Linked DNA regions of Schizosaccharomyces pombe. The protein of the gene in region 3 interacts with the protein of the main gene of each other region in a pairwise test. Each region holds a gene or a part of one and is shown on either strand. Other genes may lie near its edges.

What was found.
Region 1: the proteins of lsm5 (region 3) and plp1 interact in a two-hybrid assay, tested with the Schizosaccharomyces pombe proteins (one large-scale study listed by BioGRID).
Region 2: the proteins of lsm5 (region 3) and rmn1 interact in a two-hybrid assay, tested with the Schizosaccharomyces pombe proteins (one large-scale study listed by BioGRID).

Annotation. Positions count from the first base shown.
Region 1 is NC_003424.3:3,947,330-3,950,915, forward strand, and holds plp1 (thioredoxin domain-containing protein), read right to left. Parts: upstream 1,618-3,586; coding exon 1,406-1,617; exon of another isoform or gene 1,362-1,405; coding exon 1,209-1,361; exon of another isoform or gene 1,165-1,208; coding exon 1,078-1,164; intron 1,030-1,077; coding exon 954-1,029; intron 913-953; coding exon 601-912; 3' UTR 556-600; downstream 1-555. Other genes in the region: ppx1 (exopolyphosphatase), read left to right, coding at 1-445; qtr2 (queuine tRNA-ribosyltransferase accessory subunit Qtrtd1/Qtr2), read right to left, coding at 1,728-2,592, 2,668-2,849; splicing-associated factor Saf2, read right to left, coding at 3,191-3,586. UniProt on the Schizosaccharomyces pombe protein: Inhibits early G-protein signaling events following pheromone stimulation. May help create heterodimerizable beta-tubulin by facilitating the efficient transfer of nascent beta-tubulin polypeptides to the folding apparatus.
Region 2 is NC_003423.3:488,094-492,746, reverse strand, and holds rmn1 (MTREC (exosome adaptor) complex RNA-binding subunit Rmn1), read right to left. Parts: upstream 2,892-4,653; 5' UTR 2,866-2,891; coding exon 2,836-2,865; exon of another isoform or gene 2,798-2,835; coding exon 2,760-2,797; exon of another isoform or gene 2,670-2,759; coding exon 1,127-2,669; intron 1,073-1,126; coding exon 914-1,072; 3' UTR 586-913; downstream 1-585. Other genes in the region: idh2 (isocitrate dehydrogenase (NAD+) subunit 2), read left to right, coding at 1-428, 479-585; protein phosphatase regulator Nem2, read right to left, coding at 3,975-4,517.
Region 3 is NC_003423.3:3,299,522-3,302,742, reverse strand, and holds lsm5 (U6 snRNP-associated protein Lsm5), read right to left. Parts: upstream 1,449-3,221; 5' UTR 1,440-1,448; coding exon 1,415-1,439; intron 1,314-1,414; coding exon 1,190-1,313; intron 1,144-1,189; coding exon 1,077-1,143; intron 1,029-1,076; coding exon 1,002-1,028; 3' UTR 608-1,001; downstream 1-607. Other genes in the region: RNA polymerase II nuclear import protein Rtp1, read left to right, coding at 1,917-3,221. UniProt on the Schizosaccharomyces pombe protein: Component of LSm protein complexes, which are involved in RNA processing and may function in a chaperone-like manner. Component of the cytoplasmic LSM1-LSM7 complex which is involved in mRNA degradation by activating the decapping step.

The DNA.
Region 1 (3,586 bases), on a different chromosome or scaffold from region 3:
GAAAGAGAAAAAGAAGAGCTGTAAGGGTTTTTCTTTTGATGATCTACTACGCAGGGATTTAAAACAGTATTTTCCGGACGGAATAGTCGTCAATTATGCCAGTGTTGGAAAGGGATTAGATTGGATCAAGAAAAAACGTCTCGGATGGGAAGATGAATTGAAAAGTTTTGCCGAAGTGCAAAATTCTGATTTGGTAATTGTTGGGTTATCTCTGAGTAAGAACGACGAGTTTGGTCGTCAATTGATTTTATACAAGCGTACTGAAAGGGGAGCTGGTCTTGCCGATTCTTTCTTAAAACTTAGCAAACAAAATTTAGGATTAGAAATTATTGAAGAGAAAGATAATGGCGACCTCAGTATGTGGAATCAAAGAAATTCCGCTGCTAGCAGAAAGAAAGTAGTTCCCTTACTTATGGACTCAGTTAAACAAGTCGCTTCAAAATAGTTACTGCTTTAGACTCCATTGTGATTTCTGTTCTGTACATTTTACGATAGCTACACTCATCAGTAGGCTTATGATAGATTTTAAATTTTTTTAAAAGGATATATATTATACATCACATTGATCTAAATTTCTTACTTTGTAATCCCAAGATCCTTTTATTCAAAAAAATCACTGTCATCTGATTGATTATTTTGTAGTTCATCGTGGTAAATAGACTTGTTTGAAGAACTCTCTTCTTTTAATCGGTCGATTGCTGAACTCTTGAGCAACCGAAATTCTAGGAGTGAAGTTTCAAAATCATCTTTATTACCTAAATCAGCAAATCCGATAATCTTATCCACGAGCTGAGAATTTACGTAGCAAAGTACGGCTGGTAATACTTTGAGACCCAATTTGACTACCAAAAATGGAGCGTTGGCTGCTTCAATACGGATAAACTTAGTTTCCCAATGTACTTTGGCAATTTTCTGAGAATGTTAGCGTAAGCAATAAATGGAACTCCTCGTACCTCTAGATGAGAGTCTATAATTTTGCAACGTATAAAATCAGGGTGGTAAAAATGTATAACAACTTTTTTTGATGAACTAAAAAATAATTAGTTTAAAATAATCGAAGCTAATGTTTTGACATACAGCGTAAAATCCATAACTTCGCGCTCATTTTCTACAGTAAGAAACTGCATGTGTCCTTTTTCTTTTGCAGCTTCCACTCTAGCGAATCTGAACGGTTAAATTCTTAAAATCATTTTAAAGCTTTTTCTTACTCTTTTTTTAGCATCTCCAATCTCTGTTCTCGATAAGCAGTATCATCAAATTCATCCAACTGTGAAAAGAGCGCATCTTCCAATTCTGAATCACTTTCGGTTGCAGCTTGAGTAGCATACGTATCAGCGTAAAGATCAACTGTTGGGTCGTTACTAATGTCAACATTAGACATAATATGTACGCTACTGTAACCTACCTATTATGCAGTTCTGGTTCATTGTAATCCTGAGTATCCTCCTTTCTTTCAGTAACCTTCAAAGCTTCATACTCGTTGGCGATTTCCTTTTCCAAAGGAGATTTCATAGAAATCCAAGCAGGCTTGTTTTCTACAGGCTGAACGTTTGTCAAATCCATTTGATAACCACGTTTACGCGGCCCAAATCCATGGGATGCTGGAAAAGATGTCATATAAATTTCTTCAAATTTTCTAACATCTTCATCAAAGTTTCCCTCTTGTATGGAGGCGCGGATTCCTTGAAAAAAGGCAGTGAAGGCATAAACATTGTGTCTACAAATCGTTAGCTTTCTTTACCATGCTCTTTAATATAAACATACAGCTGTAAAAGTATCCAAGCAACTAGCTCTCTAGCCTGTAACAGATGCCTAACATAAGCGCGTTTGTATCTACGACATGTTTTGCAAACGCAGCCGGATTGCAATGGTTCCATGTCAGTAGCAAACCTTTCGTCCCACATATCCAAGCCAAGTTCAATTTTAGAATTCAACACATCTTTAGAAGGAGGCGGGAAAGAGAATGTAAGTGCAACACCAGCATCAGTAGCTTGTGTTATCATATCTGGAACAATAATGTCAATTCCTCTTTGAATGCATTTCAGAATTTCGAGTGGTGATTCAAATTTTTGAATACTCAGTCTTGGGAGACCAACCAAATCAGCTGGTAATGGATTGACATTGTTAGAAAATGCCAAGCCAGCAATGTTGTTAGCAAGTTGATTTTCTTGAAAAAACTGGAAAATAGGCGTAAGGTACTGAGTGTCCAGATCAGGAACAGGGAAAAATACTTTAGTAGTATTGAAAGCGTCCGTCGCTTTGAGTGCTAAAAGCAACTCAGTTGTCCAATTGACAGACCGTTCCACAATTTTTGGCTTCCTTTTGACACCAGGAGGACTAGTTGGGGTATCATTTAAAGGAATTACTAATTCAGGACAAAGCTTTAGGACAGCTTTAATATACAAGTCATTTGTCAGTTTCTTTGCACCACTTGCAGTAACGATATTAATATGACTTTGTCCTGCAGAAACAGATGGCAAAGGAGATGTTCTTCTTGGAGCAAGTAAAGTAGGTTGGACAGAGGGTGCTGCGATCCATTTTTTGATAGTTCCCTCATTAGTCAAGATTGGTGAGGCTTCCAGACGATCCAAGCTACAAACATATTAGTTAGAAATTCAAATTAAAAAAGATATGATAAAGCATTTGAGTCCTAAATTTAAACCTTACCAATCCTCCAACCCTACATAGAGAGCAGGAATATCGAATTCTTCAACATTGTCAGGTGTCAAATGAGGAACAGTTCCTCTGGAAGTAGGAAGGAAAAAGCAAGGAGTCTTCAGAACCTTGTTCTTCACCGTAACTGAAGATACGCGAGCCCCTGAAGGACTAGATAATGAAGAAATTGCCATCAATAAATCGCAAAATAAAGCTGCAAAAGTTTTGCTCTATTTACACATGTACGATATCAAAATAACGATGGTTCACTGTAGCACATTAAACGAATATTGCTATATGAATGTTTTTTAAATTTGAAAGATATTCAAACACAAAAGGTCGTCTAAACATTCGATTTATAATGTTGTAAAATAGCTTTGTTTGGATATCAGTAGTCTTACAAAACTGAAAGTTTTTAGTTAAGTAAAAAAAAAAATATCATTACATAAATTATAGTAAATTGTTTAGACTTTTTTTAAAGTTTTAAAGTAATAATAAAACATGCAAACAAGAAAGAAACAATGGAATAAAAACATTAATAACGGATAATTTTGCGACGGCGGAAGTCCTTTTCATCTGAAGCGATGTCATATAACGCTCTTCGTTTCATTTCTTTTTTCTCTTTTGTTCTTCGTTTCATTTGCTCCATCTCTTTCCTGGTATATCGCTTGTTTCTCCGTTCTGCCAGTAAACTTTGGCCATTGTGACTATTCAATGAAGAATTGATGTCAAAGTACTGTTCCATATGCTTATGTGCTTTGTTTTCTTCACTTCGCAACTCTGGTGAAGCCCATTTTGGCATAAACTTTCCAGATAGGCGATTGAACTGAACTTTCGCTGTGTAATCTAGGGGACTAGTCTGCTCTTCATCTTCTAACGGATTATTCCAGCTCGTCGTATTTGTTAAAGTGTCCCAAAAATAGTAAGCCTG
Region 2 (4,653 bases), 2.8 Mb from region 3:
CCAAACTGGCAAGAACAACATCACCGTAGTCCACAAGGCTACCATTATGCGCATGGCTGACGGTTTATTTTTGGAATGCGCCAAGGAGCTTGCACCTGAATATCCTGATATCGAGCTTAGGGAGGAAATCTTGGATAACGCCTGCTTGAAGATTGTCACCGATCCTGTCCCTTATAACAACACAGTTATGGTTATGCCCAATTTATACGGTGATATTGTTTCTGATATGTGCGCTGGTTTAATTGGCGGTCTTGGTTTGACTCCTTCCGGAAACATTGGCAACCAAGCTTCCATCTTTGAAGCTGTTCATGGTACTGCCCCTGATATTGCTGGAAAAGGTTTAGCCAACCCTACTGCTTTACTGTTATCTTCTGTAATGATGTTGAAGCACATGAATTTAAATGATTATGCCAAACGCATCGAATCAGGTATGTGTTTTACTAAATTAAGATTTTGTCTGTTTACTAATTACCATTAGCTATCTTTGATACCCTTGCAAACAATCCCGATGCTCGCACCAAGGATTTGGGCGGCAAGTCAAACAATGTTCAATATACCGATGCCATTATTTCTAAACTGAAGTAACATGCCCATTTTGTTTACTTCTTGCTATGAACACTGAATTTATGTTTCTTTCCTTATCATGAGTTTTCTCTCCTAGCCGATTTTTGTTACCACTTTTAATGAATTGTGTAACGATTTGAGTTGTAATTCGGAAGCATTAACTCTTTTGTATCAAAAAACCGAATTGATCGAAATGTTAGTTACAAATATTTCAATATGAAATCTCCATTTTTGAAATGCTTATTGCACTCTATAAGATTAATCAATTAGTTGCTTATATTTTATGACAGCCGCATACAATGCAGCCCATTAATTCATTCTCTGAAAAACTTTTGTAAAAGTAAATAAACTAGCGCCATCTTCCTTCTTCTACCTCTATGTTCATGTTGTCGCTTGTATTAGATTCGCCAGTCTCCATGGATGTAGTATTAGTTGTAACAGCTGTTTTTGGCACCCACGCCAACTCCAATTCTTGAAGTTTTTCAACGTTCCGAACTCCACCAAAAAACTAAAATTTGTTAACTTGAAATTTTTTCTGTCAGAGAAAGAATCAGCTACATACCTTTTCAGCGGAATTTCTATTCTGAAAACTGATAAGACGTTCAGTAGTTGAAGGTTCAGTAATTTCCTCATATCCTCCAACAGTGAATAAGTATTGCAACAAAGCTTCATTTTTTTCAGGAGAAACATTTATTACACGAAGCTTAGTTGGACGATTATCGATGGACATTGACGCAAACATATCACCTCGTCCGCGACCTCTGCCACGGAAAAATGTGTTGGTACCTCGCTGGGGAAGTCCTGAAGCGTAAGGATGATGAGAACCATTAGATGCCGCTGGGCTTTCAGAAACGTTGCTCACAGGTAACCCTAAGCAATCAGCCTCAGCCTTCAAAAGAGAATGCTGAGTTTCTAACAACATGAGTCTTTTGTTTCCTGAACGGTCAGTTTCCTTAATTTTTTGCATCAGTAACTCTTGTTCTTTTAATTGTTGCTGTGCAAGCTCGCGCTTTTTTTGGTTAAGTTCTTCTAGTGCCTTTTTATTAGCATTTATGCGTTTTAAACGTTCTTCGTGCTGCCTTTGCCTTTCTTCAATCAGTTTATGAAACTCTTCGTTTTGTAACAAAGAAGCAGGATCGACATCTTCAGAACTCTCTACATTCGACGAATCGGAAGTAGTGGGAGATTTATGGGATGCAAACTTCTTTGGTCGATTGTGAAATCCCTTTGACGGATTATACCAAAATATTTTAATAAAGCGATTGTTAAATATGGGCTCAGGCGAGGACCAAGCATTGTTGGCAGCCTCATGGGAAGTGAATTCTAACACACAAGAATGATGTGTCGGATTTAATTCGACTTTCTCCAATACACCGAACTTTGAAAAAAAGGACCTAATGTTCTCCTCATTAAAATGCTCTTCCGGAATGTTTCGCACTTCTAAAGCAGTACTTGTTGGATCATTGCCAGCGTTACGAGAGAAGCGATGTCCCAGATGGGGTTGGGGATACGCTTTGTATGGATTAAATCTTCGATTACCAGGAGAATGCCTACGAAGTTCACTATTATGCTCATGGCGCATGCCAAATCCTCTTTTACCTCGCATCTTAAATGGGGGAGGGAAAGGAGGCTGCGCCGCAGGATTAAATGGTAAGAATGGTATGGGAGGCATTGCAGGATTTGGTAAGTTTCCAAACCCAGGAATACTGGGCATGAATTCAGAAGGTGCTGTGGCTGCTGGATGGTACAACGGAGGTCCAAACATATTAGGCACCTGAGAGGGAAAAGTGTTTGTTTTTCCTACAGCAGGTAAAGAATTATTAAAATTGGTTTCCATGCTGTTGGTGGCAGGGATCATTGATGAAGTTGGCGAATACCTTGAAACTTCTTCAGTCACCATACCGGTTGACGGCATATTTGAAGCACCCTCCAAGTAAGATTTTTCACGTAAAACATCAAAAATTTTATCAACAAAAGGAATTGTCTCCTGTCGCAAAAAATCTTCTAGTTGTGAGTAGCATAACTGGCGAACTTCTTCTTCAGAAGAATCGTGCCTTAACAATGCCATAGCATAATCTGATAAAACACTTGCATCAGCATCAGAACTAGTCATTTCGTTAGCATATTGATAAACAATTTTTTAGCGTGTAAAAAAAAAAATCACGCAAATTGGCAACTCAAAAAAAATTACATACATTGGCTCCAACGCCTGTTCTAAATATCTTTTCAAATACTAAAAGCGTTAATTCGGCATCTTAAAAATAAAATTACCTCAGCATGTTCTTCTAAGAACAACGGCATTGTGATGGAGCAAAGTGCTGGTTGTTGGAGCGTTACGCATGGTTGAGCCAGTAAGAAAATATAGATCACATAAGGTAAAATCTTTAACAATTAGCCAGAAAGTTCAAAAAGAATAAACATAATACCAAAATAATAACAAATGTCTTAGCTAGGGCAATTGGCTGGGATAAAATTTAACTGAGTAGTCGACATTAGATAAGGAATAGGAAGGTTTGCATAATATTACTCGTATTTAGACTACTAATATACAATGTATTTTAAGTCAAACTCTGACGATTATGAGAGTTTCGAAAGAGTTCACTTGTCTCCAATTATTTCATTGATTAAATTGTCAGCACAACAGTGAGTAAACGTGTTAGCTATATGCACTTTTTTATATTTTAGCACCACTTATAAATAGTTAATTTTAACGGTGGAGTGATTACATTTATATTAAATTATTTGAAAACCTAACTCGTCAAGAGAGCTAATGAACGTCCGGTATAGTCCGCATGAGTAAGTTGAAAATTAAAAAAAAAGGAAGTCTCTACATAAGAAGAGAAGAAGTTTTGCTTATGTACATGCGAAAACGCTTTTTACCCATTTTTTAAAAAAAAAGGTGATGTAGAAAGAAAAGAAAGATTATAAGTCGGGAATGAAAGATAATAGTTTAAGTTGACAGAACAAGATAAGGAAGTTAAGTGACAGCAACTTTCAATTAAGCCTTTATTTAAACCCTTCCAATTAAGATGAGGCAAGTAAATGATCAAGATGTGTAATGAATCATCAACATCCTTTTTTTAATTATCCAACGATAAATCCTATTTCAGTGGGTCTGTAAAGCAATCTCATATCCCAACATAAAAGGAAATGTCCTTAAAAGTATCCTAATAAATTCAAATCGGGTAAGTATGTAATAAAAGTATAACGACAATAACTGATCAATAATATAGCGAAAGGCGCCAGCAACAACGGATAGCAAAAAAAAAAATAGCTGAAAATTTTAATCAAAATTTACGTTATGAAAAATGACAAATACTAGAACAGTATAAACATGAAAAGCATTAACAACGTTGAAAAGGAAATAAACGATCGCATCCTTTATAAATAGGATAAGGGTATAAGTAAATCTAGTTCTGTTTAGAAGAAGGAGATTCAGAGGACTCGTTACTCTGTATGCTATTGTTTTTTCTATGTATTGAAGCAAAATATGAAGAACGAAAAGCTTCCCAACCTTCGATCACCAATATGTCAAATCGTTTGCTTGATAATATAAGATGGACACCACAATCCAAAGGCTTTCTCACCTGGAACCACGGGACAGGAGTTATAACAAGGCGAATGTTAAAAAACCTCATCGCTTTGTTGACTTGTTGAACATAACGTGATGGATATACTATTGTAGTCCGATACAATCCAGAAAAATAAAAGAGCAAAAGTGTAACAATTCCGCATAAAAGACAAAGTTTGTAAGTCAAATCAATCAACGAGTATTTTGAGATGCGATAAAAGACGCGATAGCCAAAGTAAAAGTTCCACACCAATAGTGAGACATAGAAAGCCATATACTTTTGACGACGAACTTGAAGCTGTAGGTATGTTTTCCGAAACGATGCCTCTAAAATTAACAAGTTGTGATATACGGACAGGGTGTTGGGCACATAAGAGGACATGGCATTTTATTCACTCTTAACAATACGTAGGAAAAAGAATAAAAAGATATAAAGAACTTGAAAAACAGAATATAAGAAAGCTTTTTGGAGATAACAATAATTGGACAATATCCAACACCAATTACAAGAAGTCGTT
Region 3 (3,221 bases):
AAGAAAAAAAGCAAAAGCATTACGATAGTGATTTTCATCTATGTAAAAAGTCAAGTCCTAAAAGCAACGAGATTGGAATTTAAAACGAAAAAGTTTAATGGTTTTAGCTGAGTTTTGTCGTTTTTCTCTAACTATTTAGGGATAAGGGAAGAGAGGATTCAAAAATTTCTTAATAATCCAAATGTATAAATGATGAGATATATAAATCCAAAGTATTAAACTTCGTTTTCATTTTAATTTTACTTTTTCGTTTCCTTCATAAAACTGCTGAAGATACTAATTCTCAAAATTTTGAGTTTACAATAACAAGGTTAGTCACTTTAGTTTATATTAATGATAAACAACAAATATTCATACTTTTTCCAGTGTATAATCATAATAAATCCCCATTTTGGCCAACATGAACAAAAAAAAGTCAGTATGATTCAACCAGATGGGCTGGAAGAGATAACTTGAATAGTAAGATCCTGTAAAGGCTACTCAAATCAATGTTTAGTATGTTGTCTTTCAAATTAGAAGAAAAATTGCTATCATCGTAGGCTATGCATATCCCGTTTATGCCAATTTCTACAGTCAGATTACATTCAAACAATTAACTTTAACACAGTTTACATCATCTGAAATAACAATTCATTTTGGTAGTATAATTTGAGATACAATCACTAATAGGAAAAATTATGGAGGATGGAAGTATTAAGCCTTTATTTTTGAATAATCACTCATTTCAGAAACATGCAACCAGTCCTATAAAATACCTTATTTTTGCAATCAAATTCTTTAAATAACTCGATCAAATTTAACCGTATCCGAAGACATGGCTTTACCAACGCTTGTTGTTCAATTAATGTAAAAAGTGAGACTTGGGTCTAGATATTTTACCATATATGGAGTGCACACAGTATGAGCTAGATTTGGCGTGCAATATATCTCCATTTGTTTGATAATAACAAAAATCACTCTTCCTTCATCTTCAAAAGACTGTTAAATAGCCAAGTACCAACTTATTCGGGTTTTCCACCAGGAATCAACTAGATAGTTAGTGTACAAAAATTCCTTTATTATTTTCATTGACATACCATGCACATCCCATTTCCGTTCAAAAGCATTTCAGAGTGTTTTTCGGTAACGCCGGTAACAGTATCACTTCATAGAAATTAGCAAAGATAATTAAAGTTATTATATTTCATACTATTCTGTAACATCTTTTAGAACAATATTCACATAATCATCGAATCCAACAAGTGTCCCCGCAAATTCGCGTTCACTTTTCATGATCACCCATAAGTTTGATCCAATGCATTTATCAATTAATTCTGCTTGTTAGCATGAACAGATTTACCCAGGGCATAAATCAATAATTTTTCCCTTTTCTTATTATGAAACTAATTTAGAATGTACTAATAAATCTACATACCTAAAGGTAAAATTGTCATCGACATGGTGGAGGTGGATTGCAAGTTCACATAAATTGCTACTATACAAGAACCATGCTATCATTTTACCTGAACACATAGTGTTAAGGGAATATCATTTATTGGAATCTTGAAGATTTTATAAATAAGAGGTTATCGTTTCATTAAAACTGTGGACATCTTATTCGGTCTTATTTTTTGGTCTTGTCGTTTGTCAAAATTACACAGTTGTCGAATAGCGATCCATTTCTTTGAATGAATCCAAGCTAAAGCTGTCTAGTTATAACTTACCCCAAGTATTTATTGCTACGATCAGGAATTAGTTATCCACATATTTTAGCCACAAAGTTCGTTAAATAATTAAGGTTTCCGTACCTGGTTCTCATATTCTAAATATTTGCTATTGCTATTTCTTAGTACGGAAAGTATAAGAGTTGGTTTTTTGCCTTCACTTACTTATAACGTTCACTACTTAGCAAGTGAACTTTACAAGCAATATTCCGCATGGATGCAAATCAGAAGTTATTAGATTTTGCGAAGCTTTTAAATCAAAAGAATGATTCTCGTCCTGTAATTGAAAAATTGAAGGATAATATAAGTGGTGATTTATTGAATTACTTCCTCAATCTTCTAGAGGAAATCTCAAAGTTGGATACAGACCAACCCTTAAGTGTTACCTCTCTACGATGTTTGCAGCTTTTTGTTCATCTTACATTTTTGCTTGGTGTTTATACTCAACTCCCCAAAGAAATGCTATCGCAAGCGAAAATTAAGGCATTACCTATTTATACCCCCAAAAAAAATCTGGTCCAAATTTACAATATTTTACTTCCTTTATTGTTAACTCCAAGTTTATTACAAGGTCCACTTAACCTTCACTATGCCGACTTATTGTTGCTTCATTTATATTTGTTGAACTGCCATGAACAAGGTTCTCTCATTGAAGAACCCAGGCCTTTATTTTTAGACCCTTCATGGAAAGAAAAAGTAACGAGCATAATGTCTCCACAAATGGTTGATCCATCTAAAATGATTTCTTCTTGTTTATCGCTATTACAACCGAATGTAGATAACTGGTTGCAAGATAAATTGAAACATTATTTAACTACCTGTCTTTGTAGAGAAACTGGCGTGCAAGGATTTCTCAAAGTTTATATGCAAGCACAGCCAAATTCAATCGAACGCGCACGACAGGCCGCTCATCTGATTTCATCTGTTCCAAAGGATATCTCACCACAGAAATATTTTTCGTGTATTCTTCCTCAGGTTTGGAGCCTTTTCAGCACTCAACCTCGATTAGCGTCACAACTCATAATTGCTGTAACAAATACACATTGTGATATTGTTACCTCTTTTCTTCTTAAAAAGCTCCAAATACTCGAAGCACCGAAAGTCATCGATTTATCCCCATTTGAAAATGCATTGGACGTTCTTCAAGTATTAGTCTACATTCAAAACGATGATATAATTCGCATATGTGAATCTTGTGTACCAAGTCTTTTGCACTTACAGGAGAACACAACTTTACGTTCTAAAGTTCAGGATATCTTGCTTCGTATTATATCAGTCTGTGGTACCAAATCGCTGTTAAGGAATTTAACAAATGCAAAACATCTTCGTATATTTTGCGAGAGACTGACAAAATCACAATTAGCAATGTTCCTGCCTAACTTGTTAGAAATATGGGTCCAGCAGCCACCAGACAAGCGTTTGGAATTACTCGAACTTGTTCAATATGCCCTGTCTAATGTTGATTCAGATGAAATTCCTAGTAATGTAATGCTGTCTGTCTGCACTAATCTGATCAAT